Linked DNA regions of Callithrix jacchus. The protein of the gene in region 1 interacts with the protein of each later gene in a pairwise test. Links are inferred from orthologs where the notes say so. Each region holds a gene or a part of one and is shown on either strand. Other genes may lie near its edges.

Region 1 (3,517 bases):
CCATAATGACCCCACTGTTGGACCCACACACAGGGCATCAGCCGCTGTGGCTAAGCTCGCGTTGGGGCCTGAGCGCCTTCAGGAGAGCAGCTTCCCCTGGGATTCCAGGCGCATGAGGATGAGAGGGCTTGGGGCACAGGAACTGGAAGGCTCCTGGGCTGGGCCAGTGAACGAGGCACGTGAACAAGGCAGTGGCTGCATGGTGGGCCCTGCTGTGTGCTCCTTTGGGAATGGGGACACCCCCCCAACTTGCTTCGGCTTCCCACCTTTCTGCTCAGCCTGGGCTCCCGAGGGCAGGGGCCAAATCCTGCACCTGGCTGAGTCCCCTGCTCCACACAGGAAGCCCTGAGCCCTCTGCCCCTGCCCTCCAAGGGCCCTACCTTGCTGAGCCTGGCTAGCCCGAAGTCCCCGACTTTGCAGAGGGTGTTTTCCCCAACGAGGATGTTCCTGGCGGCCAGGTCGCGGTGGATGTAATTCTGCGACTCCAGGTAACACATGCCCTCGGCTACCTGCCATGCAATGTCCAGCAACTCCGAGACAGGCAGGGCTTTCTCATCAGAGTCTGCAGAGGGGGTGGAGCCTGGGGTCAGCCGAGCCCACTGGGGTGAGGACGGGGTGGAGGCCAGGCCACGTCCCATCTGCCTCCAGGCTCTGCGGGCTCAGAGGACCGGCTGGGGCAAAGGGCAGAGCTGGCCTGGTTTAAAATTAACCTCGGGCCAGCCACCACCCTCTGGAAGGCAATTGTGTATGGGGAACCAAGAAGCAGATCCTGGTTGGGGAGGTTTTCGATGGCAACGGAGAAGCTGGACACAGGAGGAGACACTCATTGCCGATTGGAGACGCTCATTGCCGAGGGATGTGCGTAGTGGGAACTCGGGAGAACGTCTGAGTGACAGCAGCGTGCGGCGTTCTGTTTCCGGAGAGCCCTGCCTGGCATGGGGACTGAGATGATCAAGCCCTCTGTGTGAGGATGAGGGTATGGAGCCTTGGCTCAGAGCTCAACTGTGAGTGGTGTGTCAGCATAGCTCTCCCCAGGCACACACAGCTTTTCCTGCCCCACCACGTCCCCTCCCATGTGACGGTCCAAAGCCAAACTGCACCTTCACGAGGGGCCTCTCTGTTCCCTGGAGCCCGTGTCTTTGGTTTTAGTGATTAAAAAAAAATAATGGAAAGAAAAAAATAAAAACAAAGAAAGAAAAATAATGGAACTTAGAGATGATGATGTCCTTGAGCCAGTGTGATTCGTGTGTCCGTGTGTGTCTGTATCTGTGTATGTGTCTCTCCATGTGTGCGTGTAGACAGGGGGATGGGCTTGCCAACGCCATCTGTGTTTGTGTGTGCATGTGTGTGCATGTCTGTGTGTGCATGTGTGTGCGTGTGTTGTGTCTGTGTGTGCGTGTTAGTATGTGTGTGCATGTTAGTGCATGTGTGCCTGTGTGTGTGCATGTGGTGCATTGTCTGTGTGCAGGCATGGGGGATGAGCTTGCCAATGCCATCTGTGTGTGTTTGTGTATGGGCATGGGGGGTGAGCTTGCCAATGCCATCTGTGTGTCTGTGTGTGCGTGTGCATGTGTGTCTGTGTCTCTGTGTCTGAATGTGTGTGTGAGTGGGGGGCTGAGCTTGCCAATGCCATCTGTGTGTGTCAGTTTGTGTGTGTGTGTGCGTATGACTGCATGTGTGTGTGTGTGTGTGTAGGCGTTGGGGGTGGGCTTGCCAATTCCATCTGTGTCTGTGTGCATGTGTGTGTGCATCGTGTGAGTGTGTGCGTGTAGAGACATGGAGGGTGGGCTTGCCGATGCCATCTGAGTCTGTGTGCATGTGTGTCTGTGTGCATGTGTGTCTGTGTGCATGTGTGTGCGTTGTCTGTGTGTGTGTGTAGGTGTGGGGGATGAGCTTGCCAGTGCCATCTGTGTGTGTCTGTGTGTGTGTCTGTGTGTGCATGTGTGTCTGAGTGTGTGTGTGTATAGGCGGGGTGGGCTTGCCAATGCCATCTGTATCTGTGTGCATGTGTGTGTAGACGTGGAGGGTGGGCTTGCCAATGCCATCTGAGTCTGTGTGTATATGTGTATCAGTGTGCACATGTGGCTGTGTGTGTGCATGTGTGTCCATGTGTGTACATTGTGTGTGTGTAGGTGTGGGGGATGAGCTTGCCAATGCCATCTGTATGTGTCTGTATATGTCTGTGTGTGTACGTGTGTGTCTGTGTGTGCGCATGTGTATCTGAGTGTGTGTGTATAGGCATGGGGGGTGGGCTTGCCAGTGCCATCTGTACGTGCATGTGTGTCTGTGTGTGTGTCTGTGTGTGCGTATGCGTATAGACATGAGGGGACATACACTTCATTTCCTCATGTGCCCCGCCTGGCGCCGGTGCCACTCACTGCGAAGCAGCTCCAGCAGGCTGCCCTTGGCCATGAGCTCGGTGATGATGTACACGGGGTCCCCCATAGATACCACAGCATACAGCGCAAGGATGTGTTTGTGCCGAAGCTTCTTCATGGCCTGGATCTCCGATTGCAGCGTCTGCTGGTGCAGGAGATTGTCTGCAGGGACAGGTGGCCTCGGTGGGTGCAGTCCCTGAACCCCCAGGCACCAAGGAAGAGGCCGAGGCCCTGCCCCCACCCACAGCAGCTGTGTAGGACACATGGACCTCCAGCCCCAGGCACCTGGCTCCTGAGGCCACGATGATGGTGATCACAGCCAGCCCTGCAGGCCCCCAGCCCGGCGCTCCCACGGGGTCATGATGGCCACTTGCTCTTACCACACAGCCCCCCCAGGCTCAGACCTCTGACATGGAGGCCAGACCTCTGCTGAGGCCCAGGTGATTTCAGGGGAAGCTTTTCAGATTTCCAGGGATCTATTTGAGTGGCTTTCCATTACATCCAGGATTTTTAATTTTCTTTTTTTTTTTTTTCTTCCCCTGAGATGGAGTCTCACACTGTCACCCAGGCTGGAGTGCAATGGCGAAATCTCAGCTCACTGCAACCTCCACCTCCTGGGTTCAACCCATTCTCCTGCCTCAGCCTCCCAAATAGCTGAGATTACAGGCATGCACCACCACGCCCAGCTAATTTTTTTGTATTTTTAGTAGAGACAGGGTTTCTTCATGTTGGTCAGGCTGGTGTCGAACTCCCTACCTCAGGTGATCCACCCGCCTCAGCCTCCCAAAGTGCTGGGATTACAGGTATGAGCCACCGCCCCCAGACAAATTTTTTTAATAATTGTATTTAGGTAAAAGCAAAGGTACATTAGAAAGGGAACTGCTCCCACACGGATGCTGTTGCTGGTCCGTGGGGCTCCAGCCTGGAGGTCCCTGGGGGCAAGAGGGCAGCCCAAGGCGGGCACGGGGCCAGGCAGAGCCCTGGCCGGGGCCCACTCACCTCGAGAAATCACCTTAATGGCCACCTGGACCCGGTCTTTCCAGAGCCCCTCGAAGACCTCCCCAAAGTAGCCAGAACCCAGCTTCCTGCAGAGCGTGAACTCCTCCCTGGGCCTCTCCCAGTAGTCCCAGTGAGGCAGA
Region 2 (3,517 bases), on another chromosome or scaffold:
GAGGGTTTCAGGGGCAGGAGGGTGTTTCTAGGGACCTTTAGAAAGCAATGAAAGTTGGGCTGGCCTTTCGGGAAGCCTGAGGTCATCCAGGAGTCTGGATGAAACTGAGGAGGCAACCTAGGGAGGGAAACAGCCAGATCAAAGGCCCAGGGAGTGAGAAGAATGCCAGGAACAGAGAAGGGAGGAAGAGAGAGAAGTGAGGAGCTGAAATACATCCAAGACAAATGAGGAGTTAACAAGAACGTTGGGGTCAGAGTCTAAAGCCTGTGTGTACCTGATCCAGCTGGCAGTAGGGAGCCATTGAAGGCTTGGGAGCAGAGGGGAGGAGTGGCAGAGTGAAGTAAAATGCTGGGGCAGATCAGCACAGGGATGTGGGAGGCAGGAGAGCCCATCTCCCCAACATCGGTGGCTGTATCTCTAGGCTTCCCTGGGCTCTCAGCCTCTGGCCTGCCCCTCGGTTCTACGAGAGAGAACCTGCCGCTTGAACTTTACTCTGTGCTGCTGGCAGAAAATGCGAAGCTGCGGGCAGAGCTGGATAAGAACCGCCACCAGCCAGCCCCCATCATTTTGCAGCAGCAGGACCTGCCGGTAAGAAGCCCTTGGCCTGGGCCTGCCTGTGCTGGTCACCGGGTGCCCAGCAATCACCCACAGTACAACCCAAGTTGAAGATCAAGACCAGGAGCTAGGCCTCCTAGGGTCTCCAGTCTGCCTAGCGACTCCTATCAGCTCTCAGGCCTTGCTCTTTTTCTCCTGAGAAATGTGTATACCCGAACTCTTCCCTTCTATCCTCATCTAGCGTCCCAGGAGAAAGCAAGCCGATTGTTGACCCTTGGCCCCCAAACTTTGACCCCTTTGCCACCTGGCTGGCCTCCACCTGGATCCTACACAGGCCTCTTAAAACTCCCTTCTGGAGCAGAAATTCCCTGATCTTGGTGCAGCCTTGGAGAGCCCTTTTCCATCCCAGGTGGACCCCAGGGAGTTGGGAGCAGGAGGAGACTTGGCAGAGAGGCTGCAAGAGACGCATGGCCTAGGCCACTCCAAGTGCACACAGACGCTGCCTGCACAGGTGGGTGGCCCAGGGCCCAGAAACACCCAGGCCCTGCTCCACCTCTGAGGTTGCTTCAGGTGCCCCCTACTTTACATAAACCCAAAGGCAGAACATTTGGAATCACAGAAGATCGAACAGGGCAGGGGCACAGGAGAATTTTCTCTCCATCCCAGGACTCGCTGGAGGTGAGTTCTGTTTGAAAGCCCACATGCCATATGGACATCCAGGTAAAGTGTGAGGGATGAGGTCAGCTGCTTCACAGCTTCCTCACCTCACCCAGAGGCTCCCAAATGCGTTTTACATTAAAATATTGTTGTGTCAAAACTTCATATTTCCAAAGTCTGTGCAGGAAACAGCTGTGAAAAAAGCACATGCCAGACCCCTGCTCTGAACTTCCAGAAGAGGGTTGGGCCCAGGTCTAAGGCCCGCCTCGGGAGCTCAGTCTGAACTCAGAACTGACTGGTTTCTCCCCCAATACCTTGCAGTTTCCCGACCTCACACCGGCCACAGCCCTCAGCTAGGGCCAAACTTGAGTTTCCGCTTTGCCCACAGGATCTCCTCTCTGAGACTTCAGACAGGTTCAACCTCCTGGCCAAGCTGGAACGAGCTCAGAGTCGGATCCTGTCCCTGGAAAGCCAGGTGGGGGAGATGCAGGGGTTGATGAGGCTGGACCAGGCTCACCACACAGCCTATGACCAGGGCTCAGTAAGCTCAGTCTATGACCAGGATCAAGGCTTAGTGTGTGACCAGGGTCAGGGCTCAGTGTGCAACGGGGTCAGGGTTCAGTGTGCAACTGAGATCAGGGTTCAGGGTACAACCAGGGTCAGGGCTCAGATACAACTGGGGTCAGGGTTCAGTGTGTGACCAAAGCCAGGGAGGGTTCAGTCTGTGTCCAGGGTCAGGGCTCAGTGTGTGTCCAGGATCAGGGTTCAGTGTGTGTCCAGGGTCAGGGCTTAGTGTGTGACCAGGATCAGGGCTCAGTGTGTGACCAGGATCAGGGCTCAGTGTGTGACCAGAGTCAGGGTTCAGTGTGTGTGTGTCCAGGGTCAGGGCTCAGTGTGTGATCAGGGTCAGGTTTAGTGTGTGAGCAGGGTCAGGGCTCAGTGTGTGACCAGGGTCAGGTTTAGTGTGTGTCCAGGATCAGGGCTCAGTGTGTGTCCAGGATCAGGGCTCAGTGTGTGTCCAGGATCAGGGCTCAGTGTGTGACCAGGGTCAGGGCTCAGTGTGAGACCAGGGTCAGGGTTAGTGTGTGACCAGGGTCAGGGCTCAGTGTGTGACCAGGGTCAGGGTTAGTGTGTGACCAGGGTCAGGGCTCAGTGTGTGACCAGGGTCAGGGTTAGTGTGTGACTAGGGTTAGGGCTCAGTGTGTGACCAGGGTCAGACTCTCTATGACCAGAATCAGGGATCAGTGTGCACTCAGGATCAGGGCTCAATATATTGTTGAAATGTCCATCTGTGTCTTGTCAGGCTGCCTGACTATCTGGCCCCCTCACCCTCATCCCTGCCACCCCGAGGTCTCTTGGGAAGGTGTCAAGCCCACATGACCCAGAGCTTTGCATTCTGCCTGGACAGCAGGCTTAGGCCCTGGTTGTCCTGGCCATCAGGGATTAGCCCTGCTGCCCATGATCCTCCAATTATTCCTATCTATGCCTGCAGTTAGAGGACTCAGCTCGACGCTGGGGACGAGAGAAGCAGGATCTAGCCACACGGCTGCAGGAACAAGAAAACGGTTTCAGGCATCCCTCGAACTCCATCCTCACAGGACAGCCTGTGAGTGACCCCCCTGGAGGAGTTCCTGGGGGTTCAAGTGGTGGAGAAGGAAGCCACCCCACCCCCAAAGTCACTGGGCCCTGAGAAAACCACTGCGGGGCCAACTCCAGGATTGGGAGTCAGGAGTCCTAGGCTCCTGTTCCTGCTCTGTTACCAACCGAAGGCTTGGTCTCAAGTCCCACACCTGTCTGAGTAGAACAGAAAACCCCTGCCAAGACCACCCCTTCCCCCATGGAGTGCTGTGAAACTCGAGGAGATGACGGTGGGTGAGGGGCCACGCTGGCATCTCCGGGATGCCCTGGCTCTGGGAGTGCTTTAGAACTGGCTGCACACATAGGCAGAGCGGCTTGCGGCCCTACCTCCCTGACTACACAGAGCCTCAGAAATTAGCACACCCTTCTTAGGTGGCCACGATGTAGGCTCCACTTTGCCGACTTCCCAAGAACAGACAGGCCTGCTCACAACGGCCCCTCAAGTTCAACCCCAGGGCTGCCCAGCCCCGCAAAGCAAAGACCCTGATTTCTCCTGCTCTTGAGATGGCTGTGCTTTGCCCATGGCCAGAGCTCAGCAGCAGCTCCTGGGAAAGGATGAGGAATCAGGCAAGGAGCAAAGGCTACCTTTACACACTCACCTGAGCCCTGGGGGATCCTGGAGAAAACAGGTGTCAACATGGCGAAATGGGTTTAGAAAACTGCAGGC
Region 3 (3,922 bases), on another chromosome or scaffold:
TCCATCCTCCTCCTCTTCCTCCTGTCTCTGACAACGCAAAGGACACTTCATGGAGCAGGAATAGTTTTCCTTTTTGATTTTATTAGAAAATAAAGTGTTTATTCAAAGAACATTAAAAGGCCAGGACCTGTGTGGGGTTGGCATGAGGGGGAGGAGTGAATCTCAGGCTCAGCCAGGCTGGGCGTGGGGCTCCTCTCCGCAGAGTCTGGGCCTCAGGGAGGCTGGGGTGGGAGGCCCCAGGGTCCCGCTGGAGGGCAGGGGGCGGTCAACCAGCACCAGGGCGCAGTGCAGAGCTGGGACAGCAGCGTCTGCGGATTCAGCAGCTCACCAGGTACATCCCTGTGGGGGCGTGGCTGTGAGGGGAAGGGGCGGGGAGGACGGGTGGGGGGCGAGGGGGGAGGGGGGAGGAGGGTACGGGAGGGGAGGGGCAGGGAGGAGGGGTGCCGGAGGGGTGCAGGGGAGGGGCATGGAGGAGGGGTGCCGGAGGGGTCCCCTGCTCCCACCCTGTGATGCTTCAATCATCCTTGTCCTCTTCAAAACACCCCCATAACTCATTGTCCCTCCTGCCACTGGGCCCCAGGAGCCCCTTGATGGGGGCAGGGTGGGGCAGGAGGAGGGGGTGGCAGGGGGACTTTGAGCTCCCTGGCTTGGGTCCTTTCTTTTTTTTTTCTTTTTTTGGAGACAGAGTTTCCCTCCAGTTGCCCAGGCTCAGTGCAATGGCCCTCGCCACAACCTCCACCTCCCCGGTTCAAGCGATTCTGACTCAGCCTCCCAAGTAGCTGGGATTACAGGCAGGTGCCACCACACCCAGCTATTTTTTTTCTATTTTTCTTTTTTTCAGTAAAGACGGGGTTTCTCCATGTTGGTCAGGCTGGTCTCAAACTCATGACCTCAGGTGATCCACCCGCCTTGGCCTCCCAAAGTGCTGGGATTACAGGCATGAGCCATCTCACCAGGCTGGCTTGGGTCCTTTCAAGGACGTCCTCCAGAGGCCAGCCCAAGACACATGGGGCCCTGACTCCTTCCCCACCTGTGGCCCCCATCTGCGGTCTCCTGGCCCCAACACCCACCTGTCCTTACCACGGATTCCACACCCCGCCCCTCCCAGCCAGCCCGGGGCTTGCTTGTCCCTAGCCAGGTCCCGGCTCCTGGGGTCCCCCGGCAGCAGGGTTGGGGAGTACCTGTGGCGAACCTCCTCTTCACCAGCGACATGCGGTACCCACTGCCCACGAGTTCCAAGTCCACGCCCGACAGGGTGGCCCCCTCGCTGGTGAACTGTGCGGCCACGGGGCTGGGTGTGCTGGGCCCCGAGAGCGGCTCCCAGCTGGCAGAGAGGCGGCCAGAGCCTGGGGAGGCCTGTGGTCAGCTGTGCCCCGGCCTCGGCCCCAGGCCCAGCTGTGAACCAGCCTGAAGCCCTTTGTTCCGAGGCCTTCATGTGCCTCATCAGATGTCCCTTCCGTCCCCTGCATCCATCTCTCCTGGCATCACTGGGCTTTGTGTGGCTGGCACGGGGGGTCCTGCCTCAGGGCTTTTGCACCTGCTGTGTCTGCCCATCTGGACTTGGGACACCCTCACCTCCACCTTTTTTTCTTTTGAAATGGAGTCTCACTCTGTTGCCTGGGCTGGAATGCAGTGGTGAGATATCTGCTCACTGCAACCTCCGCCTCCTGGGTTCAAGTGATTCTCCTGCCTCAGACTCCCAAGTAGCTGGGATTACAGGTGCCCGCCACCATGCCCAGCTAATATTTGCATTTTTAGTAGAGATGGGGTTTCACCATGTTGGCCAGGCTGGTCTTGAACTCCTGACCTCAGGCAATCCACCCGCCTTAGCCTCCCAAAGTGCTGGGATTACAGGAGTGAGCCACCACACCCGGCCTAGTTTTTTTTTTTTTTTTTAAGAGACAGGGTCTGGCTTTGTCGCCCAGGCTGAAGTGTAGTGGTGCGATGATAGGTCACTGCAGCCTCTAACTCCTGGGCTCCAGTGATCCTCCCATCTGGGCCTCCCAAAGCACTGGGATTACAGAACTGTGCCCTCCTCCAGCTTTTTTTTTTGAGACAGTCTCATTTTGTCGTCCAGGCTGGAGTGTAGTGGCACTATCTTGGCTCACTGCCACCTCTGCCTCTTGGGTTCAAGTGATCCTCCTGCCTCAGCCTCCCGTAGCTGGGATTACAGGCACCTGCCACTATGCCCAGCTAATTTTTGTATTTTGAGTAAAGACAGGATTTCACCATGCTGGCCAGGCTGATCTAGAACTCCTGACCTCAAATGATCCACCCGTCTCGGCCTCCCAAAGTGCTGGGACTACAGGCGTGAGCCACTGCGCCGGCGTTTTTTGTTGGTTGCTTTGTTTTTTAGAACACAGTCTGGCACCTGTTGCCCCGGCTAGAGTGCCTCGGTGCGATCGTGAGTTGATCGCTGCAGCCTCCAACTCCCGGGCTCAAGTGAACACTGCAGAGCACCCGCCCAGCCCTCCTCCAGCTTGCCAAAGCCTTCCTCAGTGCCCGTGTCGGAACCCCATATACCCCAATTCTACCCGAGTGCAAATAAGGGCCACCCACCTGACCGCAGTCCCTCCCCCCAGGCCCTCCCCCCAGGCCCTCAGGCACAACCAAAGCTCACCCCCTGCCTCAGACACATCTGGAAGCCTCCATGTGAGCCGCTTCTCCTCCAGGTTCCTGGCAATGAGAGAGTCTCCGTCAGGGCTTCTCCAGAGAGGATGCTGAGAGCCCCGGGTCCTAGCTCCGCTGCCTCCTGGCTGTGTGACCCCAGCAAACCTTCAACCTCTGCCTCCCAGGTTCAAGCGATTCTCCTGCCTCAGCCTCCTGAGTAGCTGGGATTACAGGAGCCCACCACCATGCCTGGCTAATTTTTGTGTTTTTAGTGGATAAGGCGTTTCACCATGTTGGCCAAGCTGGTCTCAAACTCCTGACGTCAGGCGATCCACCCGCCTCGGCCTCCCAAAGTGCTGGGATTACAGGTGTGAGCCACCGCGCCCAGCCTCCCTGCAGCACTTTTAGATGCATTCTGTCCTATAAATCTGGCTTCTTTACAACAGACACACCTTTTTTTCTTAATTTTTTTTTTTTGAGACAGAGTTTCACCCTCGTTGCCAAAGCTGGAGCACAATGGTGCGATCTCAGCTCACTGCAACCTCTGCCTCCCGGATTCAAGCGATTCTTCTGCCTCCCGGATTCAAGCGATTCTCCTGCCTCAGCATCCTGAGTAGCTGGGGTTACAGGCATGTGCCACCATGCCTGGCTAATTTTTTGTATTTTTAGTAGAAATGGGGTTTTGCCGTATTAACCAGGCTGGTCTCGAACTCCGGACCTCAGGTAATCCGCCCGCCTCGGCCTTCCAAAGTTCTGGGATTGCTGGTGAGAGCCTAATCTTTGTTTTTTAAGAGAGGGTTCTGGCCAGGCACAGTGGCTCACACCTGTAATCCCAGCACTTTGGGAGGCCTAGGTGGGCGGATCACCTGAAGTCAGGAATTCAAGACCAGCCCGACCAACATGGAGAAACCCCATCTCTACTAAAAGTACAAAATTAGCTGGGCGTGGTGGCACATGCCTATAATCCCAGCTACCTGGGAGACTGAGGCAGGAGAATCACTTGAACCTGGGAGGCGGAGGTCGCGGTGAGCTGAGATGGTGCCATTGCACTCCAGCCTGGGCAACAAGAGCGAAACTCTGTCTCAAAAAAAAAAAAAAAAAAAGAGACGGTTGTCACCCAGGCTAAGTCCCTGCAGCCTCAACTCCTGGGCTCAAGCGATCCTTCTGCCTCAGCCTCCCAAGTCGCTGAGACTACAGGAGCACACCACCAAGCCTGACTACTTTTTAAAATATTTTTTGGAAGGCGGGTGCAGTGGCTCATGCCTGTAATCCCAGTACTTTGGATTTGGGAGGCTGAGGTGGGTGGATCACC

Evidence for each region. The genes of interacting proteins can lie anywhere in the genome.
Region 2: the proteins of PTK6 (region 1) and CCDC33 interact in a two-hybrid assay, tested with the Homo sapiens proteins (2 studies listed by BioGRID and IntAct). The two-hybrid records come from large-scale screens. The link is inferred for Callithrix jacchus from reciprocal best matches to the Homo sapiens genes PTK6 and CCDC33.
Region 3: the proteins of PTK6 (region 1) and FCHO1 interact in binary tests that used the Homo sapiens proteins (3 or more experiments, as listed by UniProt). The two-hybrid records come from large-scale screens. The link is inferred for Callithrix jacchus from reciprocal best matches to the Homo sapiens genes PTK6 and FCHO1.

Annotation. Positions count from the first base shown.
Region 1 is NC_133506.1:59,026,424-59,029,940, forward strand, and holds part of PTK6 (protein-tyrosine kinase 6), read right to left. Parts: coding exon 3,378-3,517; intron 2,541-3,377; coding exon 2,379-2,540; intron 563-2,378; coding exon 381-562; intron 1-380. UniProt on the Homo sapiens protein: Non-receptor tyrosine-protein kinase implicated in the regulation of a variety of signaling pathways that control the differentiation and maintenance of normal epithelia, as well as tumor growth.
Region 2 is NC_133509.1:21,176,533-21,180,049, forward strand, and holds part of CCDC33 (coiled-coil domain-containing protein 33), read left to right. Parts: intron 1-421; coding exon 422-588; intron 589-964; coding exon of another isoform or gene 965-1,066; intron 1,067-1,600; coding exon 1,601-1,687; intron 1,688-2,704; coding exon 2,705-2,818; coding exon of another isoform or gene 2,819-2,902; exon of another isoform or gene 2,903-3,517.
Region 3 is NC_133523.1:16,516,348-16,520,269, reverse strand, and holds the end of FCHO1 (F-BAR domain only protein 1), read right to left. Parts: intron 2,677-3,922; coding exon 2,621-2,676; intron 1,347-2,620; coding exon 973-1,346; 3' UTR 509-972; downstream 1-508. UniProt on the Homo sapiens protein: Functions in an early step of clathrin-mediated endocytosis. Has both a membrane binding/bending activity and the ability to recruit proteins essential to the formation of functional clathrin-coated pits.